2 linked regions of the Rhinolophus ferrumequinum genome follow. The protein of the gene in region 1 interacts with the protein of each later gene in a biochemical or structural test. Links are inferred from orthologs where the notes say so. Each region holds a gene or a part of one and is shown in the gene's direction. Other genes may lie near its edges.

Region 1 (16,642 bases):
AGAAGTTTAGAGCGGGCAGAGGGCAAAATTTGTAAACAGGAAGGTAGAACAATAGAAATTACCCAGTCTGAACAAGAACGAAAATAGACTGATAAAAAAATGAACAGAGCTTAAGTGACCGGTGGGATCATAATAAAAGATCTTTGATATATGTCATCAGAGTCCTGAAAGGAGAGACAAAAGAGTGTGTTGCTGAACAAGTGCTAAGGAATAATGGCTGAGAAATAACCAAATTGGGCAAAAGACAAAAACCTACAGAGTCAAGAAGCTGAGTGAACACACAGAATATACCCAAAGAGATCCATCATAGCCTGTACCCATCGTAGTCACACTTCTGAAGACTAGGGATAAAGAAATTCCGAAAGCAGTGAAAGAGAAAGGACTCTATCTACAGGCAAAAAATCAAATGTCACAGTTTCTTATAAGAAATGATTGGATCCAGAAGGAAGTGTCATGACGTTTTTCATGTGATTAAAGAACTGTCAAAGTCCAGAAAACAGAAGAGGAGGCAACACTTCCAAACACATTTTACGAGGCAAAAAGTACGCTGATACGAAACCAGACAAGCACAGTACAAAAAAAGAAAAAAAAAAAGAAAAAAAAAGAAAACTACAGACCAGTAGCCTTCATAGAGTCAGAAGTCCTTAACAAAATGTGATAAGTCATATTTGCTAGCTAAAGAATAATCAAATGATCTTATCAATCCATGCAGGAAAAAAAGTTTTGACAAATCTCAATACCCATTCATGATGAAAACTAGGAATGAGGACTACTTCTTCAAATTGATAAAGGTTATCTACCAAAAGCCTATAGCTAACAGCATAATAATGTTGAAAGATTTTAAATCTTTCTTTCTAATAGTAGGATCAAGGGAAAGATCTTTGCTTTCGGGCCTGCTATTCATTATAGTATTGGAAGTTCTAGCCAGCAAAAAAATGCAAGAGAAGTACATAAAAGCATATGATCAGGGTGGAAGAGGTAAAACAGCGCCTATTTGCAGATGTTACGATGGGCTATGTAAAATATTTCCCAGCAATTCTACAAAATTACTCATAGAGTTCAACAAGATAAAAATACAAAAGTCAATTGTGTTTCTCTAGACAAGAAGTGAACTACTGGGAACCCAAATTCAAAACGTAATATCTACAGTCACTCCAAAAAAAGAGAGAAGAGACTATGAAGTTAACAAAGCATATCTAGGACTTAAATGCTACAAACTGAAAGAACTGATGAAATAAAACAATGACCTAAATAAAAGGATAGAAGATAATGTGTTCATGGACTGGTAAATATAACAAATTGATCTGTTTAATACAATTCCTATCAAGATAAGAGAAAGATATTTTGTAGTCTGATCTGTAGACCTATTTGTAGATAAGCGTATTCTAATACATGTTGGTAATATATATCTAGTAAATATATCAGTTCTCCGCTAAATTAATCTACAGTTTTAATGGAATTCCTATCATAATACCAGCAAACTTTTTAAAAATATACAGATAAGGACCAAATTGCCTGAAACCTATCTGTCTTAATTTCTCTGGTCTCAGTGCCAATGGACTACCCATAGCTTATACATTTCTCCATTGGATTTATCTGAAAAGATTTGTTTAAAAAAAAATCTAAGAAATACATGCCTTTATATTAGGTTATTGCAAAAGTAATTGCGGTTTAAAAGATTAAAAAAATTGCAAAAATCACTTTTTGCACCTATCTAATAGAATGTGTAACATTTTAACCAACATGCATCATTGCGGGGGAGGAAAGAAGAAATGGCCCAGAAATTATTTTCTCAAATCACTAAATTTGAGAACATTATATAAATGTCATAGTTTTCAAGCCTGTTTCTTTCTAGCTTATTTATCCTGTGAAGCTCTATTAATCATACTGCTTAAAATTATGTTAAATAATTGAATAAGTGGGGGAAATGACTCAGACCTCTCCCAATTTATGTAAAATACTGCCATTTCCTAAGAATTTACTCCTTGCTCACTTTTAAGTTTATCATTATCAATTCTTTCTAAATAATATTCTACCTTTTTTATGACATAGGGATTACTAGTTAATATTAGAATATAAGCAAGGACCAGTCTTCATTGTACAATATGTATCTTTAAATTATAGCCTAAGTAAAGTAATTTTTTAAAAAAGCTGATGTAAGCCTTCAATGTAACAAAAAGATGCTTTGCATTCTTGAGAAAGTAAAGTTCTATATGAATTCATGTGTAAACAATTATAACCTTATCATTTAAAGTTGTTTTAACAGCATGCATGTATGGTGCATGTTGAGTTATAGACATTTCTTTTCTAAATGGACTTCTTCTTCAAAACTGTCACTTGAGAAGCTTTGCTCTTTTCCCTTTTTTTGTACAATCACATCCATAACAGCAGTAATATCATTATAGTCATATTAGAAACATGAAACAAATTAATCACAATGCAAAGCACTATTAGAAGGCACAGTTTGATGAAATAACTTAAAGATGACCTAAATATTGGAAGTATACGAGTATACTGTTAATGGATTAGAAAACTCAACATAGTGAAAATGTCCATTTCCCCCAAATTGATCTATTTAATGCAATTCCTATCAAGATAAGAGAAAGATATTTTGTAGTCTGACTTGTAAACCTATTTGTAGATAAGCTTATTCTAAAATTAATATGGTAAGGCACAGGAACTAGAATTTCTAAGACAATTTTGAAAAAGAATAATAAAGTGGGAGAATAACTCTACCTAATGCTTAGGTAAATTGTATAGCTACAGTTATTAAGGCAGTGTGGTACTGGCAGAGGGATAGAAATATAAATCAATAGGACAGAATCACGATTCCAGAAATAAATTCACACAAATATGCCCAACTGATTTCTGACAAAGGTACAAAAGCAGAAGGAGGAAAGTCTTTTCAACAAACGGTATTGGAGCAATTGGAAATCTGTAAGCAATAAAAAGAAAACTTCTACCTAAACTCCACACCTTACACAAAAGTAAACTCAAAATTAGTCATAGATTTAAATGTAAATATAAGAAGATACTAAAACTTAGAAAAAAATCATAGAAATATTCATGAATTAAGGCTCAATGAAGAGTTCTTAGACCTAACACCAAAAGGACCGTCCATCTAAGAAACAAATTCAATAAATTGGACTTTATAAAAATTTAAAAATTTGCTTTGGTCTTACCCTATTAAGAGGATGGAAAAACAAGGTACAGACTGAGAGAACATATTTGCAAACCACATATCTGACAAAGGACTCAAAGCTAGAATACATAAAGAACACTCAAAATTCAGCAGTTTAAAAAAATAATCTGTTTAGGAAATGAGCGAGAGATACGAACAGATATATCACTGAAGAGTACATTTAGATGGCAAATAAGCATGAGAAAAGATGTTCAATGTCATCAACCATTCGAGAAATTCCAATTGAGATCACCATGATATATCTCTGCATGCTGAAGACTACAATAAAAAAAGAAAATACAAGAGGGAGGGGGATGGTAGAAGACGGTAATGGGAGTCAAAAATATGGTGATGGAAGGAGAGCTGACTCTTGGTGATGAGCCCACAATGTGATATGTAGATGATGTATTACAGAATTGTGCACTTCAAGCCTATATAATTTTATTAACCAATGTCACCCCAATAAATTTAATAAAAATGTTTAAAAATAACACCAAATGCCAAAAGGATGCAGAGAAACTAGATCACTCACATTGCTGGCAGATATGTAAACTGATACAGACCCTCTGGAAAATATTTTGGCAGTTTCTTTAAAAACCTGAACATACATTTACCATCTGATCCAGTAACTTTACTCCTGGGTATTAATCCCAAATAAATGGGAAAAAAATGTATGTGATTGTTTTGCAGCTTTATTTATGAAAAAAAGCTAATGTCAAAAAGCCACATATTGAATGATTCCATTTATCTAACATTGTTGAAATGGCAAAATTCCAGTAATGAAGAACAAATTAGTGGATGCCAGGCTGGTAGAGGAGAGTGGTTGGTATGACTGTAAAGGGATAATACAAGGAAGAGCTTTGTGGTGATGGAATGGTACTGTATTGTGATTGAGGCTGTGGTTACATACAGCTACAGTTATGATAAAATGACAAATATATATACACACATTATACCAATTTTCTAGTTTTGCTATTGCCTTATGATCAATGTAACTGTTGGGGAAAATTGGGCAAAGAGTATAGGTAGGGTACCCCTGTGTACGATTTTTGCAACTTTCTGTGAATCTATAATTGTTTCAAAATAAAAAGTTACATTTTTAAAAATCCTGCTCTGCCAATCATTAACAATAGGTACTTTAGCAGGTTCCTTGACCAGCCATGTTTATAATGGGGCTCTTAAGACATACCCAATGTAGTTACTGTGGAGACTAAATGAGAGAGGGAAGTGACTAAGGACCATAGGAAAATAATGCCAAGGTCTGAATTAGAATTCACTGTTTTTGTGCTAAATTTTATTTGATGTACCTTCCCCTTTTTCCAGTTACCATAAGCATGTCTTCCCACTTAGACTGTAAAACTTTAAGGGATGTATGTGTATTCCACTTTAATGTAGAATTGATTACAGGTGCCCAATAAATTGTGATTATTGACTGAAATTGAAAGACAGATATACCTGAGAGTATTTGGATATATATATATATATATATTTGATTTTTATTAAAAAATAGTTAGCATACAATATTATATTAGTTTCAGGTATACACAATAGTTATTCAACATTTACCTACATAAAGAAGTGATCACCATGATAAGTACAACAACCGTCTGACACTGTACCCCGCTATCACAATATTATTGACTATATTCCCCATGCTGTGCATTACATCCCCACGACTTATTTGTTTTATACCTGGGAATTTGGACCTCTTATTGCCCTTCACCTTCCCCCCCCTTTAAAATTTTCAATTACAGTTGACATTCAATAATTTATATTAATTTCAGGTATACAGCATATGTTTACACATTTATATAATTTAAGAAGTGATCCCCCCGTCTAGTCTAGCACTAACCTGGCACTATATATAGTTATTACCACATTATTGACTGTATTCCCTATGCTTTACATCCCCATGATTATTTTGTAATTACTAATTTGTACTTCTTAATCACTTCACCTTTTTCACCCTGCCCCCCAACCCTCATCCCATCTGTCACCCCAACAAAGTTAGTACGCACATGAGGATTGTAATAACTATGTAATAACTATACATAGTTATTACAATATTATTGACTGTAATCCTTATACCCTACATTCCCATGACTACTTCGTAACAACTAATTCATACTACTTAATCCCTTCCCCTTTTCACCCGCCACACCAACTCCCTTCCCATCTGGCAACCATTAAAATGTTCTCTGTATCTATGAGTCTGTTTCTGTTTTGTTTATCTTGTTCTTTAGATTCCACATATAAGCCAGATCACATTGCATCTGTCTTTCTCTGTCTGACATACTCCACTCAGCACAGTACCCTCCACGTCCATCCATGCCTCTGCAGATGAAAAGAACCCATTCCCTTCGACGGCTGAGTAATATTCCACTGTAGATATGTACCACCTCCTCTTTTTCCATTCTTCTATCAACAGACACCCAGGCTGCTTCGACATCTTGGCCATTGTACGCAATGCTGCAATGAACATATGGATACATATGTCTCCTCCAAATAGCCTTTGGCTTTCTTCAGATAAATACCCTGAAGTGGGTTTTCTGGGTCCTTCTTTGTCTCTTGGTATAACCTTTGTTTGAAAGTCTATTTTGTCTGATGTAAGCATGGCTTCGCCAGCTTTTTTTGTTTGTTTCCATTTTCATGAAACATCTCCTTTCATCTCTTTATTTTCCATTTGTGTGTGTGTCTTACAATATGAAGTGATTCTTTTGTAAGCAGCATATGTAAGGGTTTGGGGTTTTTTTATCCATTCAGTTCTCCTGTGCCATTTGATTGGAGCATTTAATCCATTTACATTGAAAGTAATTGTTGATAGATATGTAGCTATTGCTATTTTATTATTCATAATTTTGATCTTTTTTTCCCATCTTAAAGGAGTTCCTCTAACATTCCTTGTAATACTGGTTTGGTGATGATGAACTCTTTTTGCCTTTTCTTGTCTGGGAAGCTCTTTATTCTTTGATTTTAAATAATGACCTTGGTTGGTAGTCTTCGTGGTTGTAGATCCTTCCTTTTCATCATTTTGAATATTTCCTGCCAGTCCCTTCTGGCCTGCAAAGTTTCCGTTGACAAATCAGCTGACAGTCTTATGGGAGCTCCTTTATAAGTTACTCTTAGGTTGGTGCAAAAGTGATTGCGGTTTTTACAATTATTGCTAACCTTTTAAACCACAATTACTTTTGCACCAACCTAATAGTTGCCTTTCCCCTGCTGCTTTTAAATTTCTCTTTGTCTTTAAACTTTGCCATTTTAATTATAATGTGTCTTGGTGTGGGCCTGTTTGGGTTCATCTTGTTTGGGACTCTCTGCACTTTCTGGGCTTGTATGTCTATTTCCTTCACCAAATTAGGAAAGTTTTCAGTTATTTCTTCAAATGGGTTCTAAATCCCTTGCTTTCTCTCTTCTTGTGGTACCTCTATGATGCGAATGTTGTTACACTTGATGTTGTCCCAGAGGTGTCTTAAACTGTCCTCATTTTCTTTTATTCTTATTTTTCTTTTGCTGTTCTGATTGGGTGTTTTCTGCAGCCATTTCTTCCAAATTGCTGATTTGATCCTCTGCTTCATCTATTCTGCTAGTGATTTCTTCTAGTGCATTCTTCTTTACAGTTATTGTGTTCTTCACTTGTGACTGGTTCCTTTTTATGGTTTATATGTCCTTTTTAGGCTTGCTATCTCTTTGTTGAAATTCTCACTAAATTTCTTGAGCATTCTTATTACCAGTGTTTTGAACTCTATCCGGTAGGTTGCTTGCAGCCATTTCATTTTGTTCTTTTTCTGGAGTTTTCTCCTGTTCTTACATTTGGGACATATTTCTTTGATTCCTCATTTTCACTGCCTTTCTGTTTTTCTTTCTATGTATTAGGTAGTGCTGCTATGTCTCCCAGTCTTGGCTGGGTGACCTTATGTAATAGGGGTCCTTGGGGCCTCGTGGCACAGTCTCCCCGGTCACCTGCTCCAGGTGCTCCAGCAGTGTCCCTGTGTGGGTTGCGTGTGCCCTCCTGTTATAATTGAGCCTTGATTGCTGTTGGCATATCTTGGTGGGTATTGACCCTCAGGCTGACTGGCTGGGAGGTTTGGCCACATCCACAGCTTATGGGCTGCTGTGTGGTGGAACCTACCATATGGAGAGGGATTTGCCCCAGCAGGTTTTGGTGCCTGTTGAGACCGCCCTTTGGGTGTGCCACTTGTGGGGCTAATTGGGTGGTACTCTGCTGTGGTCTGAAGCCAACTTCCAAGTATGTTGGTTCTGAAGCCTCTTGGGAGGGGCTCTGGTGCAGGCCCAGGGAAGCCACTGTCTGTGACTGGCTGGGAACTACCTGGTAGGAGCTACAAAGTGATCCATGATTGGTCACTACCTGTGTTGTACCGGGAGGTGCGTTGGAGAGGCCATGCTGCAAACTGAGGATGGCTGCCACCAGTGCAGGGTCTGCAGTAGCTCTACAAAAAGCCAGGAAATTCAGAGGCCTGCTGCCACCTGCCAACTCCCATAAGCTTTAGCTGCTGATAAAGCCTCCTGCAGTATACAAGTCAGGTGAGGCCAGGTCTCAATGAATCAACAGGGTGGAGCAGCAGAGCTCACTAGGCCAATCAGATTCAGATTAGGCCTGTGGAGGTGGACTCAGCACAGGAAAAATGGTGCCCTTCTGCTGGCTGCATTGGAGAAGGGCCCCACACAGGGAAAATGGGGACTGTTCCTCAGTCCTTGCCCCGAAGTTATACAACTTAGTCTCTACCCATGTCTCCAACGCCCCCATGGTTACCATCCCTCCACCAGAGCCCAGGGTGAGTGTCTGTGTGGGCTGTTAAAAGGACAGCTGGGTTTTCCACAGCCTTCCGTCCTATCCTGACAGTTGGAATCCCCACTGTTTTTCATAGCCAGAAGTTGTGGGGGCTCCTCTTGTTGGCACCAGTTTTCCGGCTAGGGAGCCTGGTGTGTGGGGCTGGGGTTCCTTACTCCTTCATGGGGAACCTCTTTGGCCAAGATATCTCTCTCAATTTTCAGCTACCACACATGGGTGTGGGACCAGCCCCTTTTGAGACTTCACCCCTCCGACCAATGTTGATGTGGCTTCTTCTTTATACCCTTGGTTATAAAACTTCTGTTCAGCTAGACTTTAGATGGTTGTCCAGGCTATTTTTTCTATAATTCAGTTGTAATTTTGATGTGTTCATGGGATGAGGCAAGCACAACATTTATCTACTCCACCATCTTGGATCTTCTTTGGTACTTTATATAATTAACCAAGACAGGTGTTTGGTATATTTGGAGCCACTGTTGGTTTGAAAAACGACAGGGTTTTTCAAAATTGGCCATGCATTAGGATCACCAGTAAAACACAGAGTGTACCAGGTCCTATTCGCAATTTCTTATTTTCCAGGTCTTGTGTACTTGCATTACTAAAAAGTTCCTATGTGATGCTTTGTGGATCACACTGTACAAATCACTGATAAAACTATACATATGCCTTAGCCTAAACATGAGTTTATATCTGTAGGAAACTCACAGTACAAGGTGTAAAGGAACTCGTACTCTGAGTGATATGATACCCATCGCATAGGGCATTGATGCTAACATGCAGACTTGGATCCATGTCAGTCCTAAAACATTTTTTTATGTTTTTATGAAATTGTTGCTTATATGCATATTTAGACAACCACGCTAAGGAGAGGAAAGGAGGAAAGCTATGGAGAAGAACATTTTAAATCCTTTTAATAATAGCACTTAAAATACAGTTACATAACATTAGGCCTTATATTTTCTTTCATATAGATTTTGTTAGGGAGGAATGGTAGTATTATGATAATGATATTCTAAAATATAAAATGTATAATTCACTATTAAGGTTAATATCATAGCTTGACTCAATATGTCAGTTTTTCTGTATGTTTGTCTATAATTTATTTATGTCCCAAGCAATTGAATGGTTGACATAAAAAAATGAGACTGTCACTTTAACAAATGGTACTATAAAAATACTCAGACAAATAATTTTAACAGAGATTATTTTAATTGCAAAAGGAATATCTTTCTAAAACATGCTACCAATGTTTCCTATAAATATTGGGCTTACCTGTTGCATTAAAAATAAAAATATGATAATTTTATTAACCAATGTCACCCAAATAAATTTAGTATAAATAAATTATAAAAATAAGAAAGAAGATAAAGAAGCCTTCTAGTGGCAAATAATTATTTACAAACATGTTGAATGATACATTACAATTGTGTTCATTTAATACAGAAAAAAGCATCTATTGCGAGCAATTAAAAAATTTGTCATTAACTCAGTGTCTAAGAGAATGTTGTTGTAATAATTGTCACCAAAGAAGTTGAAGAAACAGTAATTCGTTAGTTAAAAATGTTTTATCAAAAGCTACAATGGGAATTTCATGTTTGAGTAAGATTTCTTTGTTCCATTATTAGAGTGTTCTTTATTTTAGCAGGAACCTCATCCCGTGAGACCTATACACATTCTGCCTTCAGAGCTCAGCTGTTCAATTCTTCTGTTGTTTCTCTTACTCAGACTGTTGACATCATCAATACATGACTTTTGATTGGATCCCCAGAGTAGAAATTAAGTTTGGTAAACAGTGGATACATAAGGCGTGCATAGATTATTCTGGGCATTTCCTTTTGTTTAGTGGAGTGAAAATTTTAGTGTTGTTAAGAAGGTAAAATAAGGAAAAGCATTTAGAAGTCTATTCTGCATCAGGAGTTTTTGCTCTGTTATTTTAGAAATGTGCATAGAAGTTACAGAAAGTATTGTTACAGTTTTGCACTAAAGAGGTTCTATGTTAAGAAGGCTTTGAGAGCAAGTACTGTGTCCACTGTGCTATTCTGGTTTGGATATTAATCAGAACACAGTTGAACATTATTTGAATTCACAGGACTTGCCATGCTGGAAGCACAACCTTATATGTAGTGACCATGGGCAGTCCTATTATGGGAAACCAACTTGAGAGAAGAGGCGGGTCACTTGCTTCTGCGCAGGTCCTGGAATTTGAAATATCCAGGGGCCTCTACAGAATCCTGGCATCAGTTACTGTGTTGACTCACTCAGTGTTAGGATCACTCACTTTCCCCTTTCAGGACTCAGATCTTGGAGGCAATTAGCTTCAGAGAAAAACGGACTAGGAAAAACCAAAGTGTTATTTTTTAAAGGCTGCTGGAGTTGTTTGGTTTCTCATCATTCCTAAACCTACTGGAGCAATAAAGTTGGGAGAAATTTTACCAAGATTTTTATCGCTGCCTTGATACACATTTTATTTTCCAAATGCTTTGGTGGGAAGAAGTAGAGGACTGTTGTAAGTACAAAGTAAAAATATTTTTTACAGTGGCATAACTTTTAGTTTGTGACAAGCTCACTGATTAGACAGATTGATTTTAAATTATTATAATATTTTGTGAATAACCATAAATGTTACATATTCTGCGTACGTATATTTGTGCAGGTGTACATGTTTCTCATTGTGAAAACTTTTCAGTAGAAATGAGGTAGAGTTTAAACTTTTGTTCTTACAAATATAATCAAACACATCTTTCTTATTTAAGAAACCACTAAAGTAATAGAACATGCATCACTGGCCTGGAGTATTTGCAACAAACCATTTTAACTGCTGTGAAATCGTTTGTGAATCTGAGTTATTATCTTGATTATTTGATACTTCTGTATTTAGTAACGGTTATATGTTGGGGTAGTGACCTGGCAAATATTCTCAATGAACTAGTTGCTGTGTGGGCATGATTTGTGGAGATCTCAAGATTAGAAAAATTGTATCTGGCGTATCATGGGGAGAAATTTAAAAAATAAAATGAATGGTGATGGATAAATGGAGGTTGAGAAAAGTATTGATAAATATTTAATTTAAAAGTTCCTTTCTCATATTACATTTAGTGTTTTGAATGTTCTTTTCTGTAATAATGATATAATCTATGCCATCAAATGATCAGACACTTTTCTTGAGAAAACACCATAAAAACATGAGAGACTTCTAATTATATTTCACAGTAAAGTCACTGTGTTGTTTCATGTCTGTGATGACCTAGCTTTTCAGTAAAGCTTTTTAATTTGAATTTTATGTAAAGCACAACTATTTTGTTTATTTTAAGAAAGTTATGATGACTAATGAAAAATTTCAAAATTGACTGTGACACAACAATAAAAATAATATATGAGGAGCACAGTGTGTCCCAAAGAGGTGGATGAAGTAGACAATCTTTTTTTCCTGCCTTTGACTTCTGGGTTATAGTCATTCTGAAATAGCTATGAGGGCAATGCTTATAAGTAAGAATGAAAAACGTAAATCTCTCCAAATAAGTAAGTCTTCAAAACTTCTAGAAAAAGAGTCATAACAGAAGTTTTGCCTCTGAGAAAAATTTGTGGAAAAAAGTTTACATTGTACAATTGCTGGCTCACATTAGGTCTTTCCAGAGTTTATATGTAGTGAAACATTTCTATATAATACCCTTATTTTATAAATTTCTTGGAGAGCATCAAAATTGATTTCTAATTGAAAAACTATTCCATTTACTAATATTACAAAAATCCAGTAGCCTATATTCTTTGCAACACACATACATAATTGACTGATCAAGCAATCAGTATATTTACAAAATTAAAACCATAAACCAGTGTATAGAAAAACTGAGAAAGAATAGCAAAGATTCAATTCTGGAATGAAGCAAGGCAAACTTACTGTCTGTTTTGTCATAGATATTCAAATAACTTTTTAAACTCTTAACTAGAATTTGAAGATAGCTAACCTTTTTAGGACAAGCCCTGTACAACTTTATGATAGTACATTTTAAAACTATCAGGTAATGTTTATGCTACATGACAATGGGTTTGTGAAAAGAAAATGAAGATATTCACAAGGTTATATTATACATTAACTTTTACTAATTGACAACATGCTACTATTTGAGTGTATTGACATTTGTGTCTAGTTTTTAAAATTGCCTTAGTTTGAAAACATTGAGAGTACATTTGGTTGGTTTTTAACCAAAATAGTTACCAATTAATAGAGAGGATCATTGTATTAGACAAGAATTGTTCACGGTTAGAAATACTCAAGTATTGCCTTGCAAAGAATTATTCAAATAATTTATTGCAAATATACATTTCATTCAAATTTTTTAAATAATGCAAATTATCTTTAGGTCTAATAAAATCGTCTTTTAGAATTTCATCTGCAGAGTCTTTTAAGGACATCTTAACTATGAAAAAGAGCTTGCTGAAATAGAGAGTATAGCTTTTATTTTAATAAGAAGTTTTCTGTGTCTCTTACATGGCATAATATTATGGAATATACAGTGGAGAACATCATGTAGAGTTACTCTAAAACTTACAAAATAGACTACAAAGTGTTTTGTGTAAGTGTATGTTATTTAAGAAAAAAGTTGTTGGTTGACACTACTCCAGCTAGGCAGAACTGAAATATTTGTTCTTAATTTGGACAGAGATATTAGTATAGCTTCCTCTTGAGTCCTGAAGTATTCATTTGAAATCCTTGTAGTCCAAGTCATTTGCTACATATGAAACAAATTGTCAAGTTTCTTAACCACTTGTGTGGTTTAATAAAAGAGATTAAAATCTTCGTTGTCTTAGAAATACAAGGTGGGTTTTTTTTTTAAATTCTGTTTTATTATCTTTCATCATGGCTTTATCACAAGGATAAAGCAGTGATTTCCCAAACCTTCCTTCCCCTTCCACTTTCTCCTGTACTAGTTCCCTAACTTATTAAAAATGATTTATTATATTTTTCATTAAACTATTCTTCTATTGCAAATGCAAGAAACATGGTGTTTTGGTGTGAGTATAAATGTTTAAAGAAACATACGTACACCTGTAATCACAGAGTTAATCACTTAAGAGAAACATTGAAAATTAATTGGAAATTAACTTTTCTTTAAATGTCATGTTTTGTTCATTGACTTATTTTCTATTTTAAACGCACGTCATTTATAAGAAATTTACAAATAAGACTAATGTACGTCCTCTGTCCAATGAAACATAAGTGTAGAGCCTCAAGGCTTAAGTGTTCAAAGTTTCATGGGAAGTCACCTCTGTATGAAGAAATGTGTTGTGGATGAATCTTTTCCCAGTTACAGTTTAAAATAAAATTAATGCTAGTTATCATTTTTTAAAGCATAGATTATTTCTCAAAGACCAGCTTTTATTTAATGCAGATTAGAGAGTTTAAAAAATGTATAATGGTAGGAATGTGACATTTCTGCCTTTTATTCTGAAAAGATACATTGATTAAACTGATGTCAAACTCAGTTAATGAAGGCTGTGTAGGTATTTCAGACATACAGGGTATGTGATTTGAAGGCAAGCCAAATCACAATGAGAAGGAATAATGATGACCTTGGTTTATTTTTATACAGTACATTCAGGTTTGCGTTGGATTCAGAGGGAGGCAACGGTTTTCTTTCTGACAAAGTCCTGCTGTAGTCCTAGGAGATTTGTGTTCTGTTATCAGGGCAGTTGGTTCATATCAGAACATTTTGGGGAGGAAGGTCATCGACTGCAGTATGAGAAAGGAGAAGACTTTTTTGATTAAATGCTACCAACTTCCAAAGCAGAATTTCACGAAAATATTTATCTTTGGGGAGTATTCTCCATGTAGGAGATTGATCTTCAAAATGCAAACAGACAAGCAAATAAACATCTTGTGGTCTTTACCTTTCTCCTCATTGAAGAGCATCTATTAATTAATCTTCCTTGGAGTTTCACTCTGTACAACATTGACAGAGTGGTATTCAAAACACGTATTTGGAGTTCAGAAGTTTAATTTTAATACAGATGTGAATGTTAAATTGGCAATGTTAGAGTGTAGTTTTTTGTTTTGCCAGTTTGGGAGGGGGTTGTCTGCTTACAGCACATGTAGAATTGTCCTTAAAATTATTCTCTTTGTAAAATTTCAAGCTCCCTCAAGTTAATATTAAAAGTGAACACATCCTTCGGAGATTCTTCTGTCTCCTTTTGAAGGGGAGAGGAAACCTGCTCTTTGTAAATCACTCATATGCAAACTATAGTTTGAAGATTAACAGCTAAAAACTTTGGTTTACTTTTTTCTGAAATTTGTAGTACAAAAAGCTTGTTTTTCCCATATATTACAGCATATTTGCCCTTTTTAAGCCAGATGCCTCCTCCAGAGATTCTGAAACACTTTAACTCCCAGGGCTTTTTTCTTTCCCTATTTAAGATTACTGCCCTGAATATGGCGGGGGAAGAGGGGAGGCTTGGTGGGTGTTTTCAAGGGTATCTTAAATTTCTCAGCCACAGTTCTGATAGGCAGCAGGCAGAGACGACAAGGAGAGGAAATGGATGGCCCTGCTGACTCATGCTTACAAGCGTCCTTATGACCACACAACCTCCACCTCTTGCCCATTAGCAAAACCCAAGGGCAGCACTCCCTCTCCCATAACTCCAGTCTTCCACTTTGGCTGCCATTTTAACAAAGAATTTCTGTTCAACTCTGTCTCAATCTTCATATTATTCTCACATCATTCATTCAGAATACCTGGGAATTTCACTAAGTGAAAGAACACACAGGACAATCTTCCGGGGTCCTACAATCCCTGGAAGGATTTTGCATAATAGATGTAATGATATTAAGCCTTGAGAAAACAAGTGTTCCTAGCAATCTGGATTGAGTTGGGAGATCAGTTTCTTTTCAGTCTCCTTTATTACCTTTGCCTTCTGCCTCAGTGCCTCACTTTCCCTTTGTCATCGCACACCTCATTCTTCACTAATGAAAGGTGGAGAGAATTCTCAATTACACTTTAACTGGAATGGAACTGTCATTTGTTTGTTATGCTGGTAAAATGCTGCTGTTGTGTTTTTGTTGTTCGTGGGTCTTCCAGAACTGTTAATTCAGCATTTGATTCCACATGTTTTTAAGGAAATCATTTTTCATAAATTCAAATTGTTGTAAAATTGATATTTTTATACATCAGTTTTGGAAGCTGAAATGTATCTAGGCTAGTTAAGACTATGTAGTCTCACGTTACTGTTCAAGTAAAAGAATCCAAGGGAAGTTTTGCCTCTACTTATGTGTATTGTAGTTTTATTATTTATTTATTTTAGTAGAAAGTCTGGTTTTCATGAATAGGACGAATATTAAAATGCATTATGAAAGCCAATGCTTTTCCATGTATTAATAATGAAGTCATAATGTAGATAGCTGAATGAGTTAACACAATTTTAAATAAACTTTTAAAATCGGATATTTGAATTGTCATATTTTTAGTTTATATTTAATAAATCTTCAGCCCATTCATGGGTATTGCAACAAGGAGGAATTTAAATATGCCAAAATAATATATAGTCTTTGCCAGTGTATCTTCAACTTTTAGATACACTTTTCCTCCACCATTATGGAATAATTGATGTCTCAAAAAGACCAGTATTAATTGAGTACAATGTGCATTACAATGTGTCATATTATGCCCAATTATGGGCAAATAAAGCGGGTACTCTTTCAATGTTTTTTACCTTCTCCTTGGATTTTGTTTTGTTTTGTTTTAAATTACTCTCCCTCTTCTACTCTGTTTTTGGCTAAGACTGTCACAGAATCAGGACTATAAAAGGGCATAAACATAAGTGGCTTTTTGCTCATTCTTGGCACCCATCTTTATTTGCACACAACTTGTCTGCTCCTTTATCAGATTACAGCAGCCATTCTACCTTAACCTGAGCTAAGTGCTGACTTAAAGGGCATGGGAGTCAGCACGTTGTTACAAGTGCAGATTCTAGCTTTGGGAACGTTGTGAGGTCAAACTAAAGAAAGAAGAAAGGAAAATAACAGAACCAGAACTTCCCAAGTATTTCCATCAAATGCAAATTGAGTAATTCCTTTTTACATTGATACTCAAGAGGGCAATATTAGAAATAAACTAGAGACTAGGTAGACAAAATGGTACCAAAATAGTTGAAGGACTGATGATATTATCTATGAAACTGGTGAATCCCAATAGCTCCCATATATTGGAAAATAACTAGGAAGGAACAGGGAAAAATAGATTCTAAAGAGTGTAACTAGACACGAGCAATGTTGGCATATAGATGGTTAACTGAAAGAACTTACTGGAAGCTCAGACAGCTGAGGAATCCTGATTTAGTAGAGCCTGAAGGGCAGGTCAGGAGCCATGTGAACAGCTGCTGAAGAGCCAGAAGATTCCTTTGGATTAGGTGTACACACACCATCTCTAATGGGCTATGTCAGAAAGCACCAAGTATTATCACAGAGTTTACTTCATTCAAGCCTCCGGACTTTGCAGTGATTTACTCTAAATGCCTGGAAATAGATTTGCTCTCAAGATAAATCCAGAAATAAAAATATCAACAGAAGTGACTCTGTAAAGTTTGTATTGTGTGAGCTTGGGTAACCACTGTTTAAAGAAGGAACAGATTGTTCTTCATTCATTCATTTATTTATTTAT
Region 2 (17,119 bases), on another chromosome or scaffold:
ACCCAGCAATAAAAAGAAACCAACTATTGATACACATAATAATGTTGGTTGTGATGAATCTCACAGACATAATGCTGGACTAAAAGAGAGACACAAAAGCGTATATACTGTATGATCTCATTTATAGTAGTCCCCATTTATCTGCGGGTATATGTTCCAAGACCCTCAGTGGATGCCTGAGGGATGGTACTGAACCTTTTGTATATTTGTGTTTTTTTTCCTATACATACCTATGATAAAGTTTAATTTATAAATTAAGCAAGGTAAGATAATAACAATAACTAATAATAAAATAGAACAATTTTAAAAAGTACTATAATAAAAATTATGTGAATGTGGTCTCTTTATCTTATTATATTGTACTTACCCTTCTTGTGATAATGTGAGATAATAAAATGTCTTAAGTTGAGAACTTCCACCTTTTCACTTAAAGCAAGTACTTTATGGCTTTTCTTTGGCATATCTGAACTGCAGACATCATGACTCTTGTGCTTTGAGGCCATTATTAAGTAAAATAACGGTTACATAAACACAAGCACTGCGGTACCATGACAGTCGACCTGATAACCAAGATGGCTACTAAGTGACTACCAGGTGGGGAGCGTGTACCACGTGGATACTCTGGACAAAGGGATGATTCTAGTCCTGAGTAGGGCTGAGCAGAACATTGTGCAATTTTATCACACTACTCAGAATGGAGCACAATTTAAAACTTATGGATTGTTTATTTCTGAAATTTTTCATTTCATAATTTCGGAACCGGTTGACCACGGGTGACTGAAACCTCAGAAAGTGAAACCATGGGTAAGAGGGGACTATTGTATACGAAATTCTAAAACAGACAAATCAAAACTATAGTGATAGCTATCAAAATAATGATTGTCTCCAGGTGTAGGAGGTAGGCAAGGATTCACTAGAAAGGGACACAAGGGAGTTTCCTTGGTGCCCTGTGTCTTGAATGGTGTGAGTGTGTTATGAGGGTGTATCCGTGGGTACATTTATCTAAATCATCAGACTGTTTGCCTATGATCAGAGAGAGAGGGAGAGGGAAAGAAGGCAGGACACAGAGTGAAAGAATACAAAAGGCAAAACCAAAGAAAAAGACCCATCTGACCAGATCTTAGGGTAGAAATTAATCTGGACCACGAATAAAGGCGTAGAGTTACAAAACAAGACTGACTCAGAAAACTCAGAAGTAAAAGCTACGGTAAGGAGCAGTTTCTAGAGACTGGACCAGTGTCTCCAGGGATGAACGGTCTTAAGTTATTTACTGCTGAACACTTGCATTTGTAATTGTGTGTGTGTAATGTGTATGTTATATGTAACCATGCTGACTTTAAGTATGTATGCATGCAATAAGAGCCAAGTTCAACTTTGTAAAGCCCCTGAACACTGAAAATATTATGGTATTTGGCTTTATTTATCCCCATTGAGTAATTACAAATTAAAATTATGCACCCATAGACTGAAATATCTATAGATGAATGTATATGATATATAGTATGTGCCTCGAAAACAACATGGGTGGAGAGACAAATGAGGATGTGGAAGTGTTTGGCCATGAGTTAATCGTTGCTTCTGCTGGATAATGGGTACCATTATGTATGTTTGAAAGAAAGTTGAAAGAACCTGTAGGAACCATAAAAATAAGTATGTTAAATAAGGTCAGTGAAGTTTTTATTTCCTTTTCATGAATAACTACTGTGGGGACAGAGCCAGGAGTGCAGTTTCCAGGCTCTCAGCCTCACATGGACAGTTGCTGGCTCAGGTAGTAAATGGCCATCCAACTGTGATTGGATGGCCATCAGCTGTGGCTAGTTGGCCGTCAGCTGTAACCAATGAGCCATTGGCCACTAACATAACTGCCGTGGCTACGCTAGCAGCAAATGGGGGCTTGCAAGCGGATGGTAACTGAGCTAGCAAGAGCGGATTGCAGTTAGCATGGCAGATTGCAGCTAGCAAGTGAGGTTGGTTGGCAGAGAGAAGTGGACGGCAGGTTGTGGATAGTGTGGCTGCTGTTTCTTGTGTCTCCAACCCAGCCGCCAGCGAGACTATAGTGGTATGACTCCCCTATCTATAGCTCCGTGGGTGTTCCTTTTTGGCCTCACCATATCCTCCGCTCTTATGTGTGGAGCAGGACCAGAGACCCCGCATGACACCCCACATGACAACTACTTTGAAGGCTTTAACAAACATCTTTTAACTATTTTAGTGCCCCTGTTGTTAATGTTAAAAGCCCACACATAGTATGTATACCTACTGGGTGACCCTGTCCTTGTTGGACTGAGGATTGTTGCTCCATGATTGTCTTATCTCAGGTTAAAGGAGCCTCAGTGCAAATAAAAACTAAGAGAAGGAGCCCAGTCCTTTGTCATTGGAAGCATCCCAGCTAACAAGAGAAATGACCAGAAATGTTCTCACATAAGATGAGGTAAAAACACCAGTGGAGAAAGTCCTAGTGTATTTTATTCTTCTATCAGGATGTGAAGAAAATTATAATTGAGGTTTTTATTTTAGAAATAAAAGCTAAGGTAGTAAATTTGAATTTCCTAAAGACTATTGTGGGGACAGAGCCAGGAGTGCAGTTTCCAGGCTCTCAGCCTCACATGAAAAGGTGCTGGCTCAGGTGGTAAATGGCCATCAACTGTGATTGGATGGCCATCAGCTTTGGCTAGTTAGCCGTCAGCTGTAACCAGTGAGCCATTGGCCACTAATATAACTGCCGTGGCTATGCTAGCAGCAAAGGGGGCTAGCAAGAAGATGGTGCCTGAGCTAGCAAGTGGCAGAGTGAGGGTTGCGGATCCTGTGTCTCCTGTTTCCTGTGTCTCCAACCCAGTCTCCAGCGAGACTATAGTGGTATGACTCCCCTATCTATGGCTCCGTGGGTGTTCCTTCTTGGCCTCACCATATCCTGCGTTCTTATGTGGGGAGCGGGAGCTGAGACCCCGCAGGCCACCCCGCAGGACAACTATTGATTGTAGATTGCAGCTCTTTGATATGACCTATTGTAAAACAAACGTGTTTAATATACATTGACATTCAACAAATATTTCAGTTGTTGAAATATTTGTTCATTTTCTCTGAACAAATATAAACCATTCTGTAGTATGATGAGCATGTAATTGGAAAAATAAATCAGCTTCAATTTTTAGATTATGAAAAATTTATAACACTGAGCAAAAGATACCAAAGAAAGAAAATCCTTTATACTTAAATACTTCCACATTTGTTTTTCAAAGTTCCTTAAAGTAGGAAATAAAATTATATTATCCAAAATGAATGATATTGTAATAATAACATCTGGTTAAGGCAGAAATATAAAAGATCATAGGCAGTAATTACTCCTTGCAACTAAACAACACACTGATTTTGGTTTAATTCTTATTTATTTATTTATATATAGGAGGAAGATTTCTGTTATCAAACTTTATGTCATTATTATAAAAAAATTAATACTGTATCAGGAATATATATCTAAAGATTTGAAAATGCATGCAAATTAATAATAAGTAGAAAGAGAACACATTACTCTCTCATACTTGGGGCAATGTCATGTCAAAACAGTAACTTATTTTCAGTTAATCAACAAAGCAATCAGCAAGTATTTACTGAATAACTACAAGAAGTTGTGAAATGTACAAGAGACGTATAGCATAAGGAGTTTGCAATCCTGGTGAAGGAGTGGACAATCCAAATGTCTAATACGCATAAAATGATTAGATAAAAACAGAACACATTTGAAGACAGTGTTTCCAAGAGTAAGTCTTTAAAGTGAGTTCAAGGAGGGTGGATAATGCTGAGTTGGAAAATGTACTTTGAATGATGGTTAAGAAAAGAACAGAGAGGGTATGGAACAAATACTTTATACAATGCATATAATCCTTAAAGTATTCACTCTACTTCTATAAAATAAGTAAATTGTTTCTATTTTCTTTAAGAACCAGAAGATCTAAAATATCCACTATGTCCTCTGAAGTAAACTATACACTATATTTTAAATGCTGAGCATCTTTTCTTCTAAACATTTAAGACACAGAGATAGATGAGTGGAGTTACAATTATTTTTCTTTGTTAAATTGAAGAAATATTACAAAGAGAAATATACTGTACTGGTATTAATCACAAGATTTAAATGAATATTCTTACATGTACATAATTCTGTCATCCAAAACATTTTTTGGTTTGTTTGTTTTAAATACACAGAGAAAAAGTTGCATGTACCCCAATAGCAAAAGCAAGTCATACACAGGGTATCCAGTTCACCTTGTTCATATAAAACATACAAAAACATGCTCTATTAAAGGCATTTACAAGCCTAAAAGAATTGTTTCTATATACTGCACAGGGCCAGAAGTAAAATTTTTGAATTTTCCTTACCATCATTCTCATCCTATGCCTACAAGTATTTTCCAAGCACTTGCTATATGAGATAAACGTGATTGATTCTCTAGGGAGGGAAAAAAAAAAAAAAAAGGATGTTTTCATCATGGCCTCTGTCCTTGAGCATCTTAAAATGCTTTTTGAGATCTGTGCACATAAAAAAAAATGACAGTTTCAAAATCAGGAAATTTTCATGTATTTCTAGTGAAAAGCATAGACAATGCTGAACTGGGTACAAAATAAGCCGTGTAGTTATGATAAAACATTGTAAAATGCCCAGTATTCCTGTCCCTTTCTGTCTAATGACAGACATAAAAAAGGGGAAAGAGAGATATGTAAATAAAAAAGCATTGAAACCATGAAGAATGTTCAAGCTGATCTGGTGATGCAGATCAGGGATATAAAGGAGGAAAAGAAAAACACAAAACAGGAGAATCATAGATGATACTTGTGGCACAAATAAAAGATAAGCGTCTTAATTAACAAATAGAATTTACATATTGATAAATATATTATCACCTTATAGGAATACACTTTGAACTGTCTCAAAATGTATCCCCTAAAAGGTGAAATACCATTATTTCCGATAATAAATTTTAATTATGGATCTACCCACGTATTAGTTACACAGTTTTAAAGATTACAATTTGGTTAGTTTAGTTTCCTTTCCTCTCCCACCCATTTTTTTTTTCCATTTAGTCTCTCATAAAATACAATGCTTCACAGCATCAAATAATTATATGGTATTTACTATAGGGATTAACTTTGAAATTAAACTGTGCACTTGTTAACATGGTTCCTGACAGTATACAGGAGATTTGGGCTGTATCTATATAATATGTAAAAAATCATTTCACTGGGAAATAAGTTAGACGAACTGATTTCATGTAAATAAAATTGTTTTAATGAAGCTCTTCAGTGTGTAACTGGTTTCTTTGGTATTATTAAAATCATTAGGTTTTATTTAGAATCATTAAGGAAAAATTTGACAGTTCCTTGAGATAATGTGGATCGCTATTCAGATAATTTATCTTCAATAAACAGCACTTTTGTCCTTAATTATTTGGATTGGTAATCAACATTGATCAAGTGTATTTATTATGATGATGTTTATTATTTATTCAATTTTATTCTTGGTTACATGTACCAAGATATTCTATATTCTTGGGAAAAACAAAGACAAAAACATTCAGCCCTAAAACAATGAAAAATAGAGTTAAAAGCAATTCTAGCAGCAAGTATATAGATTATAAGCACTTCCTGATAAACTGTACTCTCCGGCTGGCTTTTTTTCACTATCTCTTCTGTGACAGCACACTTGAGTTTCGCCTAAAATATTTATGTTTTATCTGTGGTCCAATGAAAAATAAATTCTCCCAGGAATAAAGGGCACACTGGTGTGATGCCATTGAGAGCTGTGAACCACTAGAATATGTAGTTAATGAATTGCCATTACAAGGTGGAATCACAGCTACTTAAAATGGCAACAAATTTGTATACACCAACATGAGAAAACAAAATACACTTGACCACTTAGACCCACCCATTTTTAAGCAATGTTCTCTCCTGTCCCAAGAGAACATGGGGAATGCAAATGCATTTCTCCTGAGGATCTTAGGCAGACAGGAAGATCAAACAAGAGACACTGCAGCTGAGCACCGTAATATGCACTACCAAAGCAGCTGAATTACAAGGCACAGTCCTGTATACAGGAGGCTTCAGTCTAGCTAAGGGATTGGGGAGCATACGTAGGTGGGATGAAAGGAAAAATACCTCTGTTCTCCTGACCTTGCATTTACTCACAAACAACTGACAGGACCATGCCTCAATTCTTAGGCAATTAGATACTAACTTTATATAAATAAGCACTTTGAAGTGATGCATAAGGAGACTGAACGAACACCCTTGGTGTTTATTAATACAAACACATACTTTACATCCCCTCAATTTTCATGAATTCTTAGGACACAATTTATTCATTTCAGTGGCGGTCAGACGACAATGTTCTGTCTGAGGCTGATGAGTTCCAAAATGGGGGTATCTTGAAAAGTCAGAGAATAGCAAAGGGTTCTTTCTGCCCATCTTGGCCTCAAAATTTATTAATTCTCACCCTCCCAAAAAAATCTAACCATGAATCCTCCAAGCCACAGCTCAGTTGATCCATCACTTCGAATCCTGTGTTGAACTGGTAATGAATTTTTCATTCTTGAAAGCTAATCAAGAAGGAAAATCAAGTTTCTTGGAGGAGCAGAATTTATGTATATTTTGTGTTCTTCAAACCCCAAATCATCCTTCTCCGAAACAGTCTTCTATACCCAGGGGGTACATGTGTTTCTAATTGATAAAAATAGCAATGTCTTCACTTCTTCAACTTTTTTGAATCCATCTTCTTTTCTACTCTTGTCATTCAAATTTCGTAAAGTTTCCAAAATGTTTGATGCCTCATGCCCCCAAACTATTACCAGTGCATAGGTAATAGTAATCATTCTTATTTGACCTATAACACTCTCTATATCTCTGTATTTATAAAACACATACACTCAGAGTTTCACTGTACCATAGTGAGCATTCTGATTTTACAGATAACCAATCTCATTAATTATAAACTATTTTTAAAGTCAAGAAATTATAAGAGCAAAATAGTAAATATCAGTAATTTATTTTTCTTGATAAAGATAGCCTAAATTATTACGACCCATAAATATGTGTACATAGCCATATTAAAAATATTAAAAATATTTTTAATATTAAAATATTTTTAATATTATAGCCATATTAAAAATGTTTTTCCCTACTTGAAGGTATTTTGACACAAACTGCTAGTGACTGTTGAGCCACTGAAGTTGTAATGCATTTCAGAAACACATGTTATAATCATCAAACCTAAATATACCTCTAATTAAAGCAAATCCTGCCATGAGTACGCAGATCAAAAGAAAAGTGCTCTTGATATATTGCTGTTCAATTTGGGCCTCCACCTCTTCTACAGAAATCTCCCAGAGATACTACAAAGCCATCAGCATCTGCTACATGCTAAAGCTTCTAGTTTAACTCTAATAGCCTGTGTAAAATCCTGGATTATCAATCACTGTTGCGATCTATGCCCAGGAATCCATCTAGTTGTATTGTTTATGAGAAGGATTGGAGGGAGGGATACTGAGCAACATCTTCAGTGTTGACTGGTCAGAAAATATAAGTGATATTTCCAAAACAATGAGTGAAATTTTTCAGCATACTCTATTCAACATGTAGAAAACTGGAAGAATTATTACTGTCTTTCAAAATGAAGCCCACAACGGTGCCTGCCTCTCTTTATTATCAGGTTCAATAAAAATGGTATGAAAGCACTTTGAAAATTGAAGTACTCTTAAAAATATATAATTATTACTATTTTTGGCATTAAGTACTGCAAGCCTAGCTCTTTATTGCCTGCCTTAATATTCCTGTGCCTTTGTTTTCCCATTTATTGCCCTTAATTTCAGTGTCAATTTCTTCATAAAATACTACGTGTACCGTGACTATTTGAACGCATTGTGATTTTTATTATTACGTTATATTGATGGGTCAGCCTACTTATTTCTTCTAGTGGATCCTACACTTGAATTTTGAAAATTGAGATCTTTCAGTGTTGTCTCTGCAGGACTCACACCTGGTGTCATTGCCATTAAATTCCTGTCAGCTTATCAAAAAAAAAAAAAATCATAGCAATAAGAAACTCTGTGATTTCCTAAATTTGTTTTCCACACAGAAAAATGCGGAAAATCTTGGTTTTCACTTGAAAGTTGGTCTTCTTTTTCTTCTTCTTTTGCTTTCCCCCTCTTTTTCTCTCCCTTATCTTGTAATTTCTTAATTCCCTTTTATTCTTCCCTTCCCCCACCTCTTTGCACTACTTACTCTTCTGCCTTTTCCTTGAGCCATTCTCTCTCACACACCATTTCGCTTTTCCTTGTATTATTAGAAGACCGCTGAATTTTCTTATATACACCTGAACAAAAGGTACACAAGAGTGTTTTTTGTGAAAACTTTTATAATCACAAGGGAAAAAATCCCCATGTGGTATTTATGTGAGTATGGTGGGTGTGTAGGTGAAGGGTAAAGGTAACAAATTACCTTGGCCATTGAGATGTTGTGGGAGTCAATGAGAGACTGAAATATGGGGCACACAGACAAATGAAATAATTTTAGTGTGGAACAGAAATTACATTGGTAAAAAGAAAAGAAGTGTATCTTGTACTTTCTCTGTGACAATTCATAACACCAAAACTAATAAAGCGCTTCTCTTGTAGACTTTTTGGTATATATATTTGTAGAATATATATATATATATATATATACACACACACACACATATATATATATTCATAACACCAAATATAGAGAATATATATACACACATATATATATTCTACAAATATATATGTGTATATATATATTCTCTATATTATATATATTCTCTATAATATGTATATATTCTCTAATATATATATATATATATATATATATATATATATATATATATATACTCAACAACTAGATGTAAACTAGTGGAGGACAGGTTCCAAATATTAAACTTCCCTATATCCTTTAAAACATAGCACAGCTCTTTATATGCATCAGGCATTTAAAAAGGTTTTGAGTGAAATTTGTAAATCATTATGAAATTGGTGACTACCCCAAAAATAATGACTAAAATTTCTTGATATTACTATCTAAGGAGTTAAGTAACACAAATGAATATGAATGCGCACACACAGACATATACATATCCCCAAAAAAGAAAATTATATAAAAACGTGAAACAGGAAATATATACAAATACACAAAAGAAAATTATATAACAACATATATAGAGAGAGAAATTGATTCATTTGCAATCTCAGATAGTAGGTAAGTTAAAAATAATCAAGCCTATCTTCATTATTTTTCAGAACTTAAGTTTCCAGGAATTGATTATAGTAAATAAGCAACCTACGAGTAGCTGTGCAATTAATAGTTATAGTGAGATATTGACATGTGCACTTGGATCGGTCGTGTTATCTGACCTACGCCTCTTCTGTGTCTCTGAAGTGACTACTTATTTGCCTTCTCATCTGCCTCCTCTGCAAAGATGCTCTGCAAATAAATGAGGTAATGTTCGCAGCTTGGGAAAGAAACCCATTTCATACTCTCAGATTCTATTACTATTCCATATTCAAGTCTGGTATATCACTGCCTCTGTTTTAAATTGAAATTGTATGTTTGAGTCCTTGGGTTCTGACCAAAATCTGGGTCAACATAAGAGGATGATGATGATTATTATTTTTTTAATTCTGAGGCTCTGTTCAGATCCCTCGCACGTGTGAGGGAAAACTGTGGAAAATAAACAAAGCGCATAAATCAAGCTTTGAAAGAAAAATATCAGAAAGGATTTTTTTTTTCAATGAAGAGCGTGAACACTGTATTTCCCTAGTGGAATATTTCGATCCAGGAAGGAGGATAGTGCATGCAGTGTGCGTGTGTGTGCATGTGTGCGTGTGTGTGTGTGTGTGTGTGTGTGTGTGTGCTGTGCGTGCGCGCCCGCGGAGAGAAGGGCGGGGGAGGCGGATGAGGAGGATGAGATCATAGTTTCAGGATCCTCAGGAAACCCTGGTACTGGCAGCAGCCAGCCTCTGCTGTGCCCACATGACCCACAACTCTGGCAGCGGACCCGGCACTTCCAACATTATTAAATAATAAGAAAGCGGCTCCTACTCCATGCCCAAACCTCCCTACAGACCAATGGACGCCTTCTAAGAGTTTGGCGAGTCGGTGACTGAGGCGCCCGTCCATTCCAAGGTGTGTGCAAGGCGTTTTCTTCTTTGACAGCTCCGGAGTGGGGGAGGGCACGGGGGTGGAGGGGTCCGGGTGTCGGGCGAGAAGTGGGCGCGGGGCAGGGATGCTGCGAGCTGCCCCCGGCCGCCCGGTGCAGCGGAGCGAACGGCGAGGCGGGAGATGCACATGACGCGCAGCCCCAGCTGCGCAGGGACCCCGGCCGCCCACGGCGCCGGGGCGCCGGCACCCGAGGCTCGGCTGCTGGAGCAAGGGCAGGCGCCGCGCACCCGGCAAAGTCAGGAGTGGAAGCGGACCGCCCGCGCCGGCGGGGGCAGGGAATCACCCCAACGCCCACTCGCCGGGTTCCCACCTGTGCGCCGACGCTGGCCGCGGCGAGCGCGAAGCATGTGCCGGGCGCCGCAGCCAGGACTGCGGCTCGGCGCCTCCCCGGCGGCGGGCGGCGCCTCGGGCCCGGGGGCGGCCGTAGCGGCTGCTGCAGGATGGCCGGCCCGGGGGCGCGGGGCCGCGCAGGTAAATCTCAGCCGCCCGCCGAGGCCCGGCGTCGCTGCAGCCCCCGCTGTCGCCGCTGCGTCGTCGCTCCGGGGCTGGCGATGGCAGCCGGCTCCCTCGCGTCGCGGGTTGAGTTGTTTTGTTGTCATTGCGCCCTCTGAGTCGTCCTCGCGGACTGAGCCTGTGAGAGGTGGCGTAGCCACATCCATTAGGGATGACACTCACGTTGGGGAGCAGTCTGGGGGTTATTGACCAGGAAATCCGCGATGGGTTCCTTTCCAGCCAGCGGCGTCTGCGCGTGTTGCAATGCACTGCGGTGCCCGCGCGGAGGTCTGAGTGGGAGTGGGCACTTGGGGGTCGCTGGGGCCGTTGGGTACCGGGTGGATGTCTATGGCTTTTGTAGCCTGTTGCCACTTTAGAGTTTTCCGTTGGACAGAAGGCGAACGGGAGGTTGGTTCTGGTACCCGGCGTGGGTGGTGGAGAGATGTCAGTCAAAAAACCAAAGCCAAGGAGAGAAGAGGGGTGGTGACGCTGTGCTTGAGCTCAAAGGTACCACGGCTGGGACTTGGTAGTAAAACTTTCTCTTTGGTAGCCTTGGGTTGGTGATAACTGTAGAACTTAGGAGGAAAAAAATATTAAATGTACACTTGTGAAGCTAACCACCTTTATGTTCATTTGTACTCTAAAAAATGGTCTTTTGCACTGATGTTTAACGTTCAAGTTTTCCTGTTATCTGTTATGATCACTTGGTATTTAATGTTTGTTTGTGTTTCCTTTTGAATATGACAGTAACTTATATTGTCAAAGTGCACAGAGTTACTCTTTTCTTTTACAAGAAAAGACACTATTATGCTTATGCCAAAGGTAGAAACTTTAGGGAAAAAACAGCTCTCCACATATTCCAAGTACAGTTATAAGCTTTATTCTCTCACTTAATTCTTATATCACCATAAGGAGTAGGTAATAATATTATCCATCTTTTACAGATGAGGAAGTCCAGACACAGAGAGGTGAAATAACTTACCCAAGGTCGTACAGTTATGAAATGTTACAGCCCAGTTGGTCTTTTGGTGTACTCTTAATATTTATATATTTCATTAAAATAGGACTCCATTGTACCTAAAGTTTTCTATTTGACATATGGCCCACATCTCTGTACCAAGATGAACCTCTTAACTGACTATGTACTACAAATTGGGGACAAATAACTCTTTTCCTAAATTTTTAATACTATATTTATGGAAAATATCCTTTGAGTAGTTTCCTTTTGCCACAATTAACCAAGTTTCCTACAACAATTATAGATTAAAGTAGTATTTATAAGCAACATAGATTTTCAGCAGTTAAGATTTACCAGCAAATAAATCACTATAAAGCAGATGTCTGAATCTATATATTTGTTTGCACTTAATTTTAAACTTCCTAAGATATTAGTCTGTCCTTTGCTCAATGTAGGGTCATCATTTTCTTCTGAATACCATCTTGCAGATTTTTTTAACAAGTTTAATCATCTTTAAGCCAATTACTCTGACAAGAGGTTAGGCAGTTTTGAAAGAAGAATTATACAATTTTCTTTCAACTATCAGTAATGAAAAGCAGGCTATATTTTGAGGGTATTGATGTATGTCATGCCTTTTAGCCAATTGTATATACTTTATACAAAGTTGTGGAGCAATGAAGACTGAAATCAAATTTTCTCATTAGTTCTAAGTTGAAATACTTTTTAAATCTCCACTTGTTTTAAATGAACCATGATGTTGTGAAAGGTCTCAGTGGGGTGAACTCTAACTGTACATATTTGGAGAATTACTCTTCATTTGAGCTTATCATGGAGCTCTCATGCTATTCATTCAATTGGACAGATGTCTCACTTAAATCTTCATCTGTTATTTTTTCAAGTAAATTTAATTGCTTCTTTACATAACAAGTTTCAAAATTATTTTGACATTCATAGATTTCCTTAATTCTTGTCTTTCAGTTTAATTAAATTCAATATACATATTTCAAATCCATACGTAGTCAATATTATAAGTGAAAATAGACCAAATCCAACTGGAACTATATGGAAACATGAGCTTTGGATGTGAAAAAAATTTTTTTCTGCTCTTCAATGGTTAATCTCCTCCACATCCCAAACTATGGCTCCGGCGTTATTTTGGGATGCTGGAGTGCAATGCTGTGGTTAGAAGAGTTGCATGCCGTCAAACACAACTGTTTCTGATATTGAAATTGAGTTTGAATTTTGCCAAACTATTTACATACGATGTTGATTGTCATTAAGGCATTAATCCTGTTATACATATGTCCTTTCTTAACTGAGTCAGAATTGTTCCAGTTTTCTGGTTTTTGTTACTTATTTTAAAGAAGACATTCCCTTGCTAGTTTGACCTCACCTGGTAGACTCACATGACTTTTTCAAGTCCCACACTTCTAGTTTTGGGAGAATCCTACTGTCTCTGCTTCTTGAGAGCCCCTCTGTTCCAGATGCTTGGCAGAGGACGGGGGATCAATAGTGAGCAGAAAGATGACTGGGCCCTGACAACATAGAGGGTCAGACATTAATAAAATAATTATACAGATAAACCTTTATGCACAAATTGAGATAAATTCTCTGAAAGAAGGAATTCTATAAGAATATGTAATAAGGAATTCTGGACGAGATAGGAGGGTCAAAACAGGATGACAATAAATCATATTTGTGGAGAAATGATGTGTGACGAAGTGTTTACTAAGTCAAATGGTCTTTATAAATGCTTTCATAAATATTTTGTGAATTATTTTCTGAATCAGAGACCTGTGTCTCCCTCTGAATAGCTCTCCACTTTTCTATTCACCAGAAGAAGACATACTATTCCCCCTTATTATCCACCTATGGAAATGGGGAAGTTTACAAAATTCCCATCAATACTTTTTAAAGCACAGAGAGCATGTGCTATCCTTATCTGGTTATTATCCTATTTGCTAAGAATAATTTAAGTTTAAAGAAATATAGTCATTTTATTTCAAATTTTAAAAAGTGGTTGTGTGTATGTGCGTGTGTGTGTTATTAAAGTGGAAGAATGTTTCAAGATAGAAATATAATTGATTCAGCACACAGTACCTAAGATTCTATGAAGTGTCCAAAAGAAGAGAAGAGGCCCCAGAGTAAGGGAGGTGATATTAAATGTTTAATATGCTTGGTAAAAGGGTATTAACAATTTAAATCAAACATAATAATACCTAAATTTATTGAATACTTACTGCATGCTGGACATCATTCTATGGGCTCTATGTAAATTAACTTACATATTCCTCACAATAGCCTTCTGAAGTCTGCATGTATTTCTATTATCCCCATTTTATAGAAAGGGAAAGTTAAGGACAAAGAGGACAGTAATCATGACCATTGTTGCATAGTTAGAGATGAGCCCTAAACTCAGTATTTCTATTTCTGTAGTCCATACTGTGAGCTATCGATGTGTAACATCTGGTTCATAAATTTACTGGTGCATTCAACTCCCGTCGTTGTTAAAAATAATAACACCTCTTAATTGGATCTTTTGGTTCCTTTTCCCTTCATAAAAATCAATGGAGAAAGAATAAGACTTCCTTTATATCAATGCTTTTTGTCCTATATTTTACAGGGAAAATATATAGATAAAGCAAGAAGAGATATATGAATGCCTAGACAAAGACTAGTGACTGCTAGGTTATGAGAAATGTCTCCTTACATATTATATATTTTTAAAATTCAAAAATAGTAACTTGAGTACCATTTGAAACTGTTGAAAATTTTAACGTTAAGAATATGTAGTTCCAAATATGCATTTCCAATAATTAGGGAAATATCTTTAACTGCTGGAAGTTCTATGACCATTAAAAAACTTAAGAATTTTAAGTCAATTGTTTCACCTTCCCCTACAGTCTTTGTTCAGAATATGCACTGCAAGGAGGCTACAAAGTATAACATAAACAACATCTGTTGAATTACTTTGGTAAAATAGTTTAAAACCCTGTTAATTTTTACAATGAGATCTTTTGACACGAATCACAGTAATTATTATGATTTAAAAAAACTTAGCAATTTTAAATATTATCTAAATAATGTTAACCTAAGACAGATGGTACATGTCATCAGCAAAGTGAAGTACTGCACACTGTCTGAAAATAAATGTTAGTCAATGTTATTTCTCCTTGCAAATAATAGGTAATATGCAGGTTATGTGATGAATGTTAATGTTAACCATGAATCACAATTCATACACAGTACACATCTACAAATGCGTGACTCTTCTTTGAAGCTCTTGGAAATGCTTAAGGCAGAGCACATTTTCTTATGACTCATGTATCCCTATTAAGACTGTGATACATCATTTCTCTGTATGCTCAGCTTCATGCAAAGCTCTATGTCACAGAGTAACTAGCAAACTATTGCTCTAATTTATACCATAAGGAAAGAGATGCAAGACTTGATTTTGCTTTCTGTGGACATATGGGTGTGCATGGGTTATCTGAGTGGAGGATGCCATCAAGTACACCAAAGAATAACTCATTTACTGGAGTTTACAATTTGATGCCCCAGTGCAGGGTCCTACTCCAAAGAGTTTCGTGTGTTTAATGTAAATATAAAATACACTCACCAGTTATAATAGTTTAGGTTGGGCAGTTATGACAAACCACTCTAAAATCTCGGTGACTGAAAAAAACATGGGTGTATTTCTTGCTAATGCTGTGTGCTGTGTTAGTCAACAAAAACCTCTATTCTACACCTTCCTCACTTAGGGACCTGGGCTGATAAAGCCCCCGTCACCCAAAACATCCTCATCCTTCATCAGGCACAAGGGAACTTGGTGAATTACCCACAAGTTCTTAAAGGCTTTCACCAGAGAGCAGTACTTGCCAATTCCACTCATATTTTATTGGCCAAAGTGAGTCAGATGGCCGTTCCCATTCATAAATGCAACGCTTTCACGGACCCAGATGAAAGAAAATGGCAAGACTACTGAACAGACCTGATTTTTACCAGATAAAATTAGCCAATTCCCTTCAATAGTTTTATCACCTAAACAATGATTTATCTTTTTACGTAAATGCAGAATCACCAACAACTCTGTTTTAGAACTTTAGCATGGGAAGGTAATCCCAGCATAAAACCACCAGCAAAGAAAGTAGATACTAAACTTGTGAAATTGATGATATTCTTATTTTTCGGTGGGGGTTGTATTTACTCAAGGAATGATGATGAAAGCTATGGTTTATTTTGAGGGAATGCATGAGGTAGCCTATTTGACAGCAAGCACAAGCCAAGAACAGTGCCAACACCTGCATACAGCACCCAAGCTGTGTTTTCTAAACAGATTTGATAGTGTCAACATGGTACAGAAACCAGAGCAGCTATGTGTGTATCTTTTTTTGTCACCTGCACCAACAAGGGACAAAAATATCATAGGTGCTATCGTATGTTATTGTAAAAAGCAATGCAGATAAACATACAAATCATGCTGTATGTTTATTTTACACTGTCAAATATAATCTGAAAAGTGAGGATATATCCAATCCATATTTTTTAATTAAACCTGTTATTTTTAGATAATGGGAGATTCACATGCCATTGTAAGAAGTAACAGAGAAATCCCATGGTGTCTTTTACCCAGTTTACCCCCATTGAGGGCAAAGGCACCATCTTAAACCTTAACAGTAAAACACAACAAACAATCCAATTAGAAAATGGGCAAATAATATGAAGAGATATTTCACCAAGAAGGATATACAAATGGAAATTAAGCACATGAAAAGATGTTCAACATCATTAAGGAAATGCAAATTAGAACTACAATAAGATATCACTACACACCTATTAGAATATTCATTGCAAATATATAGAAATTCATTGGTTTTTTGTTGTTGTTGTTGTTGTTGTTTTGGAATCTTATTTGTATCCTGGGATTGCTCAATTTATTAGTCCTAAAAGTTTTTTCTGATTTCTTAGAATTGTCTATGTAGACCATTATGTCATTTGAAAATAAGGACAGTTTTTTTTTTTTTTTTTTCCCTTTCTTTTCTGATCTGTATGCCTTTTGTTTTCTTTTCTTGCCTTATTGCACGGACTAGAATTTCCAGGACTATAGTGAATAAAAGTGGTGAGAGTGGAATCCTTTCCTTGTTGCTGATCTCCAGAGGAAAACATTCAGTCTTTTACCATTAAGTATAATATCAGCTGTCAATTTTTTTGTAGATGTTCTTTATCAGATTGAAGAATTTTGCCTTTATTACAATTTTTCTGAGTATTTTTATCATGAATAGCTACTAATTTTTGTCAAATGCTTTTTTTCATCAAGTGATATGATCATTTAATTTTCCTTCTTTAGCCTCTTAAAAGGTGGAGTACATTGATTTTTAACTAGAAATCAGCCTTGCATCCCTGCAATAAACCCCATTTAGTCATTGTGTATAATTCTTT

What was found.
Region 2: the proteins of DMD (region 1) and DTNA form a complex in vitro, tested with the Homo sapiens proteins (3 studies listed by BioGRID and IntAct, with this or other methods). The link is inferred for Rhinolophus ferrumequinum from reciprocal best matches to the Homo sapiens genes DMD and DTNA.

The regions. Positions count from the first base shown.
Region 1 is NC_046284.1:99,551,055-99,567,696, forward strand, and holds the start of DMD (dystrophin), read left to right. Parts: upstream 1-10,264; 5' UTR 10,265-10,466; coding exon 10,467-10,497; intron 10,498-16,642. UniProt on the Homo sapiens protein: Anchors the extracellular matrix to the cytoskeleton via F-actin. Ligand for dystroglycan.
Region 2 is NC_046302.1:28,653,161-28,670,279, forward strand, and holds the start of DTNA (dystrobrevin alpha), read left to right. Parts: upstream 1-9,943; 5' UTR 9,944-10,194; intron 10,195-17,119. UniProt on the Homo sapiens protein: May be involved in the formation and stability of synapses as well as being involved in the clustering of nicotinic acetylcholine receptors.